Tribolium castaneum: one gene and its partners. Each later gene encodes a partner of the first gene's protein in a complex. Links are inferred from orthologs where the notes say so. Each region holds a gene or a part of one and is shown on either strand. Other genes may lie near its edges.

Region 1 (3,659 bases):
GTTGTTCCAAAAAAATAATTTTTGTACGTTTGTCAGCCAGAAACGTAATTTGCGAAAATTACATAAAAACAAGCCGAAAATCAACAAATTATGCCGAAAATATTGTGGTTTTTAAGAAACAAAATTTTTCTCGGGAGTTTCGTTAAAACGGCCAAAAAATTACAAAATCTAACTATAACGTTTTAGTTAGTTTTAAAGCAACTACATACGACTATTTCGAGAAATTGTATGCACTCCTTTGAGCTAAAAATTCGAGATTGTGATAAGCCGGTTCAAAAAAACACTAAACCAAAGTTAAAATGACTGCCTTTTTTGTTTTTCTTCAAGGTTTTTAGCATATTGCTCAACCAGAAATGTAATTATTGCGAGGAACATTTAAAAAATCCAAAAATTAATCAACTTGTGTGTAACTTTTGGCCTTGTAAGTATGTAAGCAAGTTTTCTCGTGGGATCACTAAACCAAATTTCAAATGTATGTTACATTATTTGCCTTTTTCGAGCATCTTAATACGTTTTTCATTCAGAAACGCAATTATTTCGATGAATTTTCGTAAAAAACAAGCTGAACAATCGCCAAATTAGGTTGAAAATTGTTGAAAATCATAATTCATGACATAAAAACGTTTTTTGCATGATTTCTCTAAATACTAAACTAAAAATTGTTTTAAAACTTACTTTATTATTTTTGTCTTCAAAGCATTTTTTAGCATTTTTTTTTCAGCCAGATACAATTAAGTTAAAAATTGTATTTTTAAGTTTTTTAGAGTCTTAATAAATTAAGCATGTTTTTAAACCAAAAAACCCAATTTATTATTTCGAAATGCTTCGAAAAAAGACAAAAAATCTTTTTACTAGTTCTAGCGCCGGTATGTACTTTACCAAAAAAATGTAAATATTGCATGTTGTTTCCCGTTTTCATGATTTTAGCACAATTTTATGTTAGAAACCCAACTAATTCGAGAATCTTTGCAAATAAGAGCTGAAAATCGCCAAATTTGTTTAAAAAGGTGTTACTTTTGCCTTACTTAAGGGCTTAAGCTATCTTAAGCTATTTTTTTTTGAGGTAAAGACAAAACCGGACCAAAATTCACGAAATTAAACCAAAATTTACATTATATTTCTTTCACGACCATTTTAAAGGTTTTTTTAACCTGAAATCCAATAAAAAAAATAGATCCAAAATAAGCAGAAAAGTCACAAAATTAAATAAAAAATGCTGTAATAATAATTTTCACATTTTCAGGGGCTGTTCAGTTAAGATCACAGTCTTTTGTGAGATTTCGGAAAATTGTGTGAAAAATACTAAACAATTATTTTCACTTTCTTTTTCGAGTGTTTTACTAAAATTTTTCAAGAAAAATAGTCAAAAATAAGCTGTAAAATAACTGAACCAAAAATTTGACCGTAACTTTATTTTCTCCTTTTTCTTTAAACGTTTTACTCGTAGCACGCAATTTTGCACAAAATAATAATAAACAAATTTAAAAAAAATAAAATAAATAAATAAATAAATAAAAATAAATAAATAAATAAATAAAATAAAATAAAATTATCTTTATTTTTTCAAGTGCTTTAGAACGTTTTACAGAATTACTTCAAGTCTTCATAAATAATCCAAAAAATCCATTAAATTAGGTGAATATTGCCTTATGTTAGAACATCATACGTTTTTTAAGACAAAACATAGTTTTTCTGAGAACTTTCAATAAAAAGGACGAAACAGTTAAGTACATTATTTGTGCTTCATTCAAGTGTTTTAGCAGGTTTTTCAGCCATAAATGCAAATATCTCAAGTTATTTCGTCAAAAATAATCTAGAAAATCGTCAACTTGGTTGACAATAGGGTGCTTAGAGAGGTTACAGACGTTCACCACACGTTCTTGAGTTTAAAACTGAGTTTTCATAGAAATTTCGCTAAGCGAATTCAAATGTGCGATATGTTTCCTGTTTTTATACATTTTACCACAATTTTGTATTTTTTTCCGAAAAAAAATGTAAAAAAGCTGAATAATCGCCAAATTAGGTTGAAAATAGTGTTAGTTTTGCCATGTCTAATGCTGTAATTTTCACATCTTTTGTGCTTGTCCATTTAAGATCACAGTCTTATGTGAGCTTTCGGTAAACTGTGTAAAAAACACTACATAATTATTGTCACTTTTTTCAAGCGTTTTACTCGTTTTTCGAGAAAAATCGTCAAAAATAAGCCGTAAAATCGCTGAATTAAATTAAAATGGTGTTGCGTTTGGACTTTTTCAAGCGTTTTTGCGCTATATTTCATCATAAAACTAATAACTTACTTCGTTTTTCGTTTTTTTTCATGCGTTTTGGGGCGTTTTTGCAAAAAAATAAGAAAAACCTACCGTAGACAACATCCGGTTTGATCAAATTCAAATTCATGAAAACATCATCGGCCATATTGTACGGATTCAGTTTCTTCTCCTCGCTTTGCTTGATCATCAACTCCTCCAGCGTCACAAACCCGGCCAAATTTTCATTACATTGCTTGAACGTCTTCTTCGGAAAATTCGGGACGTGAAAATCGTTAATATTGCACAAACTTGGATTACTGGCATGGACATAATTCAGCGGTTTGACTTTGGATAATTTTCCCGAAGCCTTTTCCTGACCCTTACCCAAGTGTTCAACAGTCAAATTCGGAACACTCACGTTCTGAACCGACTGCTGAAACTGCGGTATTTCGGACCTGTGTGCAAAAAACGACGCCACATGCGATGTAAAATTGCCGGTGGTAACACTTCCGCTTGGAGTTTCCGTCGTTTTGATTTTTCGGTAAGAGCGGAACTGGGCGGTGGGCACCGGAAGTGAGTTTTTCGAATGACTGCTTGATTTATTGAAGAAGCGTTTCCGGTCCAAGCTCGTGCTGCCACCGGCTGCGTTTTCGTGTTTCTTGGTGAGCTTCTTCAAAGAGTTGAATTTTTTGATAGTTTCTGGGTTCTTCTCCGGTTCGGTTTTTTTGGGTTTTTCGGTGTCTGATTCGTCCGTTTCTGAGTAGAGGGAGCCGTCGGCTGTTTTGAGACTGTCGTTGTTGAGGGTGGCTGCGGTGATCGTCTCGATCCATGATTGGAGGGTTTCAGGATCTTCGGCTGAGAAGTAGAATACTGTGCCCGTGTGGTACACTTTGAAAGCGTTCGAGCGAGATTTCACCTTAATAATCATGTTAGAAATTAATAAAACTGCAAGGTTTTCTTACCTCGCTCGCCACAGCCACCGTAAACCCCGAGAGGAAAATAAGACACGCCGCTCTTGGATCTTCTTTTGTCTTGAAACCGTACAGACAACTACCTAACAAAACAAACCACCTTTTCTCCCAGTGGACGTTTTGGTTGTGTTTGCTTCGCAAGCGTTGGTACAAATACCCCTGAGTGTCGGGAGGGTTCAAATCGTTGACTGTTACTCTTCTCCGTTCTTAAAAAAAATTATTATAACTCTCAAACAAATAATAATAAGAAATACAAAAAAACGAACAGTTCGTATACATGAAATAAACGCATATTTATCTGAAATAAAAGAGTTTTCATGGAATGAAGTCACTTCCACTGTTGACGTAGATAAGGTCTATTCCAAATTAAATTCTGCTAGCAGTGTTTACTTATTAAATATTTTCCATTTAAAACCCTCTACACTTAAAACAATTTGTG
Region 2 (2,345 bases), on another chromosome or scaffold:
ATGTTTAAACTAATTTATTAGAAGAGAAAACGAGGGTTCATTCGAAATAAATTTATTTTTCAATTGACATTTTGTGATAAAATTAAAAAGTACAAACTTGACAAAAAACAAGCTTACCAACCTTAATTCCAGACGTTAATCAAGTCCTGAAGGAGCTTCTCGAGGTCCAAAAGGAGAATCTGGACATCGAGCGCCAACGCCTGGAACTGGAAAAACAGAGGCTCGAATTTGAGCGCTTTGTTGGTTCCCAATTACTGGCAATGGGCCCATTTATTGGAAATTTGTTCCATCGATTTGCATTTCCGACCGAAGATATGACAGAAAACGAGAAAAATAACAGCCGAAAGAGGCAAAGTAGTTGTGATATTGACCTTTTGAAGGATAGTAAAATTTTGAAGACTCTGCTGAGTGAGGGGCTGAAGAAGTACATTGTGAGTGAGGATGAGAACGACGACAGTGGGATTCACAATGATGACAACAGCAACAGCAGCAGTAAATAATTTGTTCGTTTCATTCCAATAACATTCCGTTAATTATTTATTTAATTTATTTGTATAGAATTACAATAAAGTCAAGCTATTGAGTATTCATAAAACATATTGTTTGTGTTGCGCCGCTGCAAGTCCCGAATTTCCATTATGTCGGTTTTTAACCGGAGTTTTAAAATTTCGCGCCAAATTGCCTCACGGTGGTCCACATCCGTTATCCCCAGTCGGAGCAAAGAATTATCATTTATTCGCAATAATGTGCGTCCTGTTACATCATTTTGGATGAATTTATCGACATAAAGGGCATAGTAGTCGGTGCAGTGCCTCCGGAGCCACTTTTGTACGTCTACCACCGTCCACGAATACACCGACTTGGGTTTATTGTAATTAACCGCTTTGAGCTGCAATTAATTGTTTAAAACCGGCGAATGGCTGTGTTAATTGGTTAATTCCTACCTTTGGTTTGTTTATATTATTTAAAGTTTCTTCCACCATCTTGCTTGTCAAACTGACAGGTTGTGACCAACCGCAATACCAACCCATCAAGCAAAAACTCCAATTTATTTAAAACAGAGCGCCACTTTGAAATAAAACACCAACTTGCATTTGTTATATTTTATTTAAAAAAGCGCCAGCTTATATATTTGATTATATCCAACTATCAATAGAAAAAAATAAACATCTAAAACAAAATAATACATGGTTAGACCTTATCTTAAATAAACTTGCAATTGTAAAGCGCACTGTAACAAAACTTTAAGCCCGGGCATAAAACTGGCAATTTGAGCGAAATCAGGCCCTGACACTAGCTGAGTGTGTAAATTCAGTCCTCCTGTATAATCTCCGTTTTGCACCAACTGTACCATTTGATGTAACGCTCCTAAAGTGTTGGGTGACAGTTTCTGTTCCCTTAACAAATCATACAACGACTCTAACTTTCGGCCAACATCCTCCAATTTTCGCTTGGTTTGCTATAAAAAATGCGATTAAAACAACTTCAAATTGTTGTGTTAAATAAAATACCGGATTATTAGCCGCACAACTGCACTGATATTTCAACTCGTCAAAAACGGTTTGCATGTGTATGTGTTCTTCGGGAATTGGTGGTTTTTGAATTGGTTGTGGTTTCTCTGGAACCACAGGAGTTTGGTTTTGGACCTGGTTAAAATTGACCGCATTTGACTTAAAACCAGTCGGATTGAACGTAGTAGGCGGTGTGAAATTGTTAGGTGGGGCAAAATTATTAGTTGGCTGTGGTTGGAACATTTGTGGTTCGGTTCCGTAACCGTTGTTGGTGGGCGCCGACCCATACAATGGGTGCGTTATGGGTTGAGATGGGACGGATGCCTCTGGTTTGGGCTGAAAAATCACAATTTATGGTTATTTGTTGTATGACACTTCCGTGATCTACAAGGTTAGTAGTATTTATGCATCAAAATTTGAACCTCAAAAAAAACGAAATATTACTTTCTACTGATTAGGGGTTTTTGCACAATCATTTTGAAATGACTTGAGCAAATATTATAAAATTGGTACAGTTGCTTAGAAGCATACATATTTTGACAAAAACCTGACAAATCGACTCAAGTTTTCAGTTACCGCTTTTCCAAGTAAGATTTTTATTCCGGATTTTGCTCCTTTAATGCTCATTTTTATTGCTAAAGTCTCTTTAAGTTGCTACTTTAATTTAAACTGAGGCTTCTACGAAACCAAAACCAAAAAGTATGAATTTTAAGTAAACAATATCCTTTGCAATAGAAGTGTTTTTGCACTAATACCGCTGACAGCACTTCATCCTCCTAACATAAGACATTACATTATTTTTTTAAATAACATTCAATTCGTTGTTTATTATTT
Region 3 (4,366 bases), on another chromosome or scaffold:
TGTTGATGTAATGTAATGTAATGTTTAGCATTATTACGTATCTTTTGTTATTAATTATTTAGCATGTATTTTACTTACCTAGTTTACATTAGTTTTGTTACCTTACTGGCAGTGATATTACATGAAATAATTATAACAAAAAATTTATTTAAAAACAATGTTCTTACGTTAAAAAATTGTTTAACTTATTTAAAAAATGTTTTTTTTTTTCGTTGAACGTCAGATATCATCATTTTGTAAATGATAATTTGCAAGATGAATCTGCTGAAAAATTTTTTTCCTATATTTCAAGAACTAATAATAATCAGCGTTTGCTTTAATTCCTTATTTTTTCTCTAAGCGTGCAAAGTTCTTCAGATTCCATATCATTCACAATAAAATGTTGTTAAGCTCCAAAATAACGTGAATTTTCTACGTATTTTTGCACAAAACAATATTTAAGCACCGTTTGCATTAAGGTATAAAAACTATTTTTTTCAACGGCTTAATATTAAGTCTTGTAAAAAAATTTATAGATAGAAATAACCATTAACTATTTAATAGCAAACTCAGAATTCTCTGTGATCATTAGTTTTTGAGATGAAGTAAAAACAATACTTTTGGCAGACTAATTTAGTTCTAAATTTGACAAAATTAATTTTTTAACGAAAGTTGACGTTACTTAAAAAAAATTCAATTTATTCTAACATATTCTTTAAAGTGAGTTATTTTGATATTTTGACGTATTTCATTTAGCTGTTTATGATTACTATTTAAAACCTGTAAAAAAGCAAGCTTATTTTACTCAATTTAGCCTAATAATAACAATATTTACTAATTAACATTAAAAGTACAATTCGTCGCATTCTGAATAACTTAAAACACTACTATTTCACCAAACAATGCGTAATTTGCCGGCAGATATCATTCAGACATTTCGCAATTATTTATTTATTTTTTTGATTTGGTGAATTGGCATCCAAACAAGAAATTTAGATTATTACATATTGTATTATTTTCTTAAATGATCCATTAATTTTATGAGACAAAATGCATTAATTATATTATATAACATTTGGAGAAAAAATTGCATATATTGCACGGCTCAGCCTTAACCAGCCTTAACCTTAGCCCATAAAGTTTTACTTATAATCTCAATAATATAATATTCTGTTTAGTATATATATAACAAGTGAGTAAGAAACGTATTCTTTCTAAAAAAAGTGCATTACTCCTAAGTAATACAAATTCTTACAGTCTGGAAATTAAGTAAAGCTAGTTATTCTCCGAATATAAAAGTTTATCTGATCCGACATAAATTACGATAATTAATTATTCATTTAATTGGGTGACAAAATATAACATTCGATATGTTTTACGTTAATTTGAGATAAAACAATTATGTAATTTTATTTTTTAGTGCAAAACTATGTCGATTTTCAAAAACTTTAACACATCTTTTCATCTTTAATAACTAAGGACCCGTTTATAGAAGCGTCATTAAGATAATCTGCAATTAAATGCGTGATTAACTGATCACGTGACCAAATTAAACCAATTTCATTGGTGTATTTGCGTTGTTAACGTTCAACAACGAATTAAAATTTAATAAAGCTTTCATAAGAGTTTTATAAGATTTTGGTGGTAGATTGACAAGTATTTATTCTGGTGACAGCTTTTTTCTTGTTTGTAACACTTTGTGATATCTTACCGACATGTAGCTTCTCGTTCCGACGAAAGAGTTCGCCATCGAGTCTATAAGTTGTCCCGAGACCCCAAAATCACAAATCTTGATCTCGCCGCTACTATTAATGAGTATATTACTGGGCTTAACATCGCGGTGCATAATCGCGTGTTTATCCCTCAAGTAGCTCAGCCCCTTCAAAACCGCAACGGTAATCTTCCCGAGTATATTTTCGGGAATCCGTCCGGCTTTTTTAAGAATTAAGTCTAAAGACCCAGCGTCCATATACTCCATACAGATGCTGATCTCCCCATCGCTGTAAAACGCGCCGTAGAAGCCCACAATGTGCGCGAAATTGCACTCGTGCAAGACTTTCAATTCGCGAATTATCTGGAGTTTGATCGCCTGTTTCACCTCCAAGTGGATTAATTTCCGGGCCATGATGAGCCCGGATTTATGGCGGACTTTAATAACGACGCCGCCGTTCCCCGACCCCAACTCGCCCAGTTTTTCCAAATCGTCGTCGCTCAAATCACCCCCGATTTTCTCCTTCTGGCACAGGAACACCTCAATGCGCCTCCTCTGCGTGGCGTCCATCTCCAAGCCCTCGATCCGGGCCGTTAGGTTGTCGATGCTGGAGCCCCCGACGTTGTTCGACCTGAAACTGCCCTCCAGTTTCGAAACGCACGGAAAAGACACTTACGGGGCTGCGGCGTCCGGAAACGGCGCACTTGTGGGGGTCACCGTGGGGGTTTGGTCCAGCGAACCCGGGGGGAGGGTCAGGTTTAGCTTGTTCTTCGACATCTCTCCCAAATATTACACTTGTATCACTGATTAATTAACGGAAGGGACGTTGACACCCATAGATAAAAAGCCTCAAAATATCAACATTATCTACCAACTTTTTAGAATTATTTTTGGTTTAGCGAAGAGACTGCAACCGCGAACATTGTAACCAGTGGTTGTGTTTTGACTGTTTTTATGTTACACTTATTGTTTTTACGTAAATAAAGAAAAAAACACAAGTAAAGAAAACATCTGACATCAGTCAATTATGTAGTTCGCTGGAGTGACACGGGTGGCGCTCGCACCGTTCTTATAATTCAATGTTATTATTGTTATTGCTACAAATTTTTATTTATAAACTTAGCAAAATAGTTGCAATAAATAAAATAATAATAAAACAGTTTTTGTTGTTACGTAACTTGTATAGCGCCACCTGTGTTTGCGATACCACACTGCGCATTCCTAGTTGCAACACCCTTTAGTGCCTAATATATCGTTGGTGCTTTTGGTACAAGGTGGCACTAGAACGCCGGCTGAAATTATATATTCAAAATGTGATAGAACAGATTTTATGAGAGGATAAATAATTGATAAGTAATTATTCGGTACCAAAGAAGGGAATTTTATGTGATATAGTATTATAAATTGAATAATAAATGTATGCAGCGTCATCAAAACCGCAACATTAAAAATTCATACCATAGATACACGAATTGAGCCAAATGTCCGCCCTGTTCGATTGTATTAATTAATTTTGGGATAATGGAGGAGTGAGAAAAATTCGGTTCAATTCAAGTGTGTGTTTTATTTAGTTTAGATACAGTCAGTCATGCATAATTACAATTTTTCGTACCAGCTTTACAAAATATTTAATCCTGTACATGTGTGGTAACTACAGTACAACCTCTTTTATAAGAACCTGATGCCACCATAATCACCTGTCTCTTGCTATGGATCATTTTTCAAAAAAATCTTAGACAGGAAGATTTTATTTTCTTGGATGTCGTTTCTATTGGAAATAATAAAGCAGTGATTGATAATTTGACACAAAAGGCTTTATTTTTTGTTCTTGTGTGTTTTTTTGCTTATATTTTTATGTTTAAGTTTCAAAATTAAAAAATTATAATAATTATTAAAAAAAATAGAAGGTGTCTACTAAAAGTAGTGGTTCAAAACACAAAAACCAGCGTTTGCAATTAAATATTTTATTTTTATTCTCTATGCATATGACCTTTTAAAAATTTTTTTACCCTTTCTTATTATTTGAGGCATTTTACTTGAAGCAGACAACCAAAAAAAAATTTACAACCTAAGATTCGGTCATATTCGGAATAATTGGTTTTCTAGAAAGAATGATTGTTAATCTAAATACATAATGATTTTTTATATGAGACTTATTTTTGACTTATATTCTTATAACTAATGCACAACAAGATATTTAAAGTTGGGCTTTTGTTTAGAAAATTTACTGTTCTTTTTAATGCTGAAATTATTTTTGGAATTTGAATTTTTTGTACAAAACTAGAAGTGAAGTTTCAAATCCAAATTTTAGTAACTTGGACAACTTTTTCTACTATTTTTATTTTAAAAAATAGCTTATAATATAAAGATTTTACACTATAATTCGCAAAATAAAATTTCTATCCGTTTAGGAGATGCAGTATTTATTGCAGTATGTGATCGGCCGGTGTACGCAAGAAATTACGCGCTTTTGTATACATTACAACTTATTATATAAATCTTCGAAACACATTTTAGATTTTAGTTATTTACTTTAAGCTTTTTTTGAAATAAAAATAATTGAGAAAAATTTTGGAATTGAAACTTCGTTTCCGAAAAGAAATTTAATTCTCATATCGAATTTTAAAGTTAAAAAACAATAGTGAATTTTCTATATAAAGCACTATTTTAAATATT

What was found.
Region 2: the proteins of cnk (region 1) and ave are in contact, whole or in part, in a crystal structure (PDB 8BW8), measured with the Drosophila melanogaster proteins. The link is inferred for Tribolium castaneum from reciprocal best matches to the Drosophila melanogaster genes cnk and ave. Residues at the interface, in NP_001286524.1 of Drosophila melanogaster: Pro47, Glu51, Leu56, Arg57, Ile58, Gly59, His60, Gln61, Glu62, Leu65, Glu66, Glu69, Lys110, Ile111, Asp112, Thr113, Leu116, His117, Ile119, Thr120, Arg121, Ile123, Lys127, Val130, Glu134, Arg139, Arg145, Cys148, Gly149, Leu152; in NP_725413.1 of Drosophila melanogaster: Tyr24, Gln51, His52, Asp53, Ile54, Arg57, Ala58, Arg61, Ile62, Thr63, Ser66, Arg69, Met70, Glu79, Trp82, Arg83, Val86, Lys87, Arg89, Leu90, Lys91, Asp93, Ile94, Glu96, Ile97, Arg98, Met100, Glu101, Leu103, Asn104.
Region 3: the proteins of cnk (region 1) and Dsor1 are in contact, whole or in part, in a cryo-EM structure (PDB 8BW9), measured with the Drosophila melanogaster proteins. The link is inferred for Tribolium castaneum from reciprocal best matches to the Drosophila melanogaster genes cnk and Dsor1. Residues at the interface, in NP_001286524.1 of Drosophila melanogaster: Arg46, Tyr48, Arg72, Tyr76, Thr92, Lys95, Asn96, Arg99, Arg103, His117, Arg121; in NP_511098.1 of Drosophila melanogaster: Arg200, Gln255, His258, Gln262, Tyr319, Val321, Asn322, Glu323, Pro324, Lys347, Gln348, Asp350, Glu351, Arg352, Ala353, Asp354, Lys356.

What each region holds. Positions count from the first base shown.
Region 1 is NC_087398.1:13,500,097-13,503,755, forward strand, and holds part of cnk (uncharacterized protein cnk), read right to left. Parts: intron 3,427-3,659; coding exon 3,212-3,426; intron 3,166-3,211; coding exon 2,361-3,165; intron 1-2,360.
Region 2 is NC_087399.1:9,899,464-9,901,808, reverse strand, and holds ave (protein aveugle), read right to left. Parts: upstream 1,081-2,345; 5' UTR 1,032-1,080; coding exon 945-1,031; intron 890-944; coding exon 572-889; 3' UTR 530-571; downstream 1-529. Other genes in the region: myb/SANT-like DNA-binding domain-containing protein 4, read left to right, coding at 133-500; Sec31 (protein transport protein Sec31A), read right to left, coding at 1,199-1,459, 1,512-1,847. UniProt on the Drosophila melanogaster protein: Required for normal photoreceptor differentiation between Ras and Raf for EGFR signaling in the eye and for mitogen-activated protein kinase phosphorylation. Probably acts together with Cnk to promote Raf activation, perhaps by recruiting an activating kinase.
Region 3 is NC_087403.1:8,130,057-8,134,422, reverse strand, and holds the start of Dsor1 (dual specificity mitogen-activated protein kinase kinase dSOR1), read right to left. Parts: upstream 2,830-4,366; 5' UTR 2,468-2,829; coding exon 2,367-2,467; intron 2,322-2,366; coding exon 1,691-2,321; intron 1-1,690. UniProt on the Drosophila melanogaster protein: Required downstream of Raf in the sevenless (sev), torso (tor), and Drosophila EGF receptor homolog (DER) signal transduction pathways.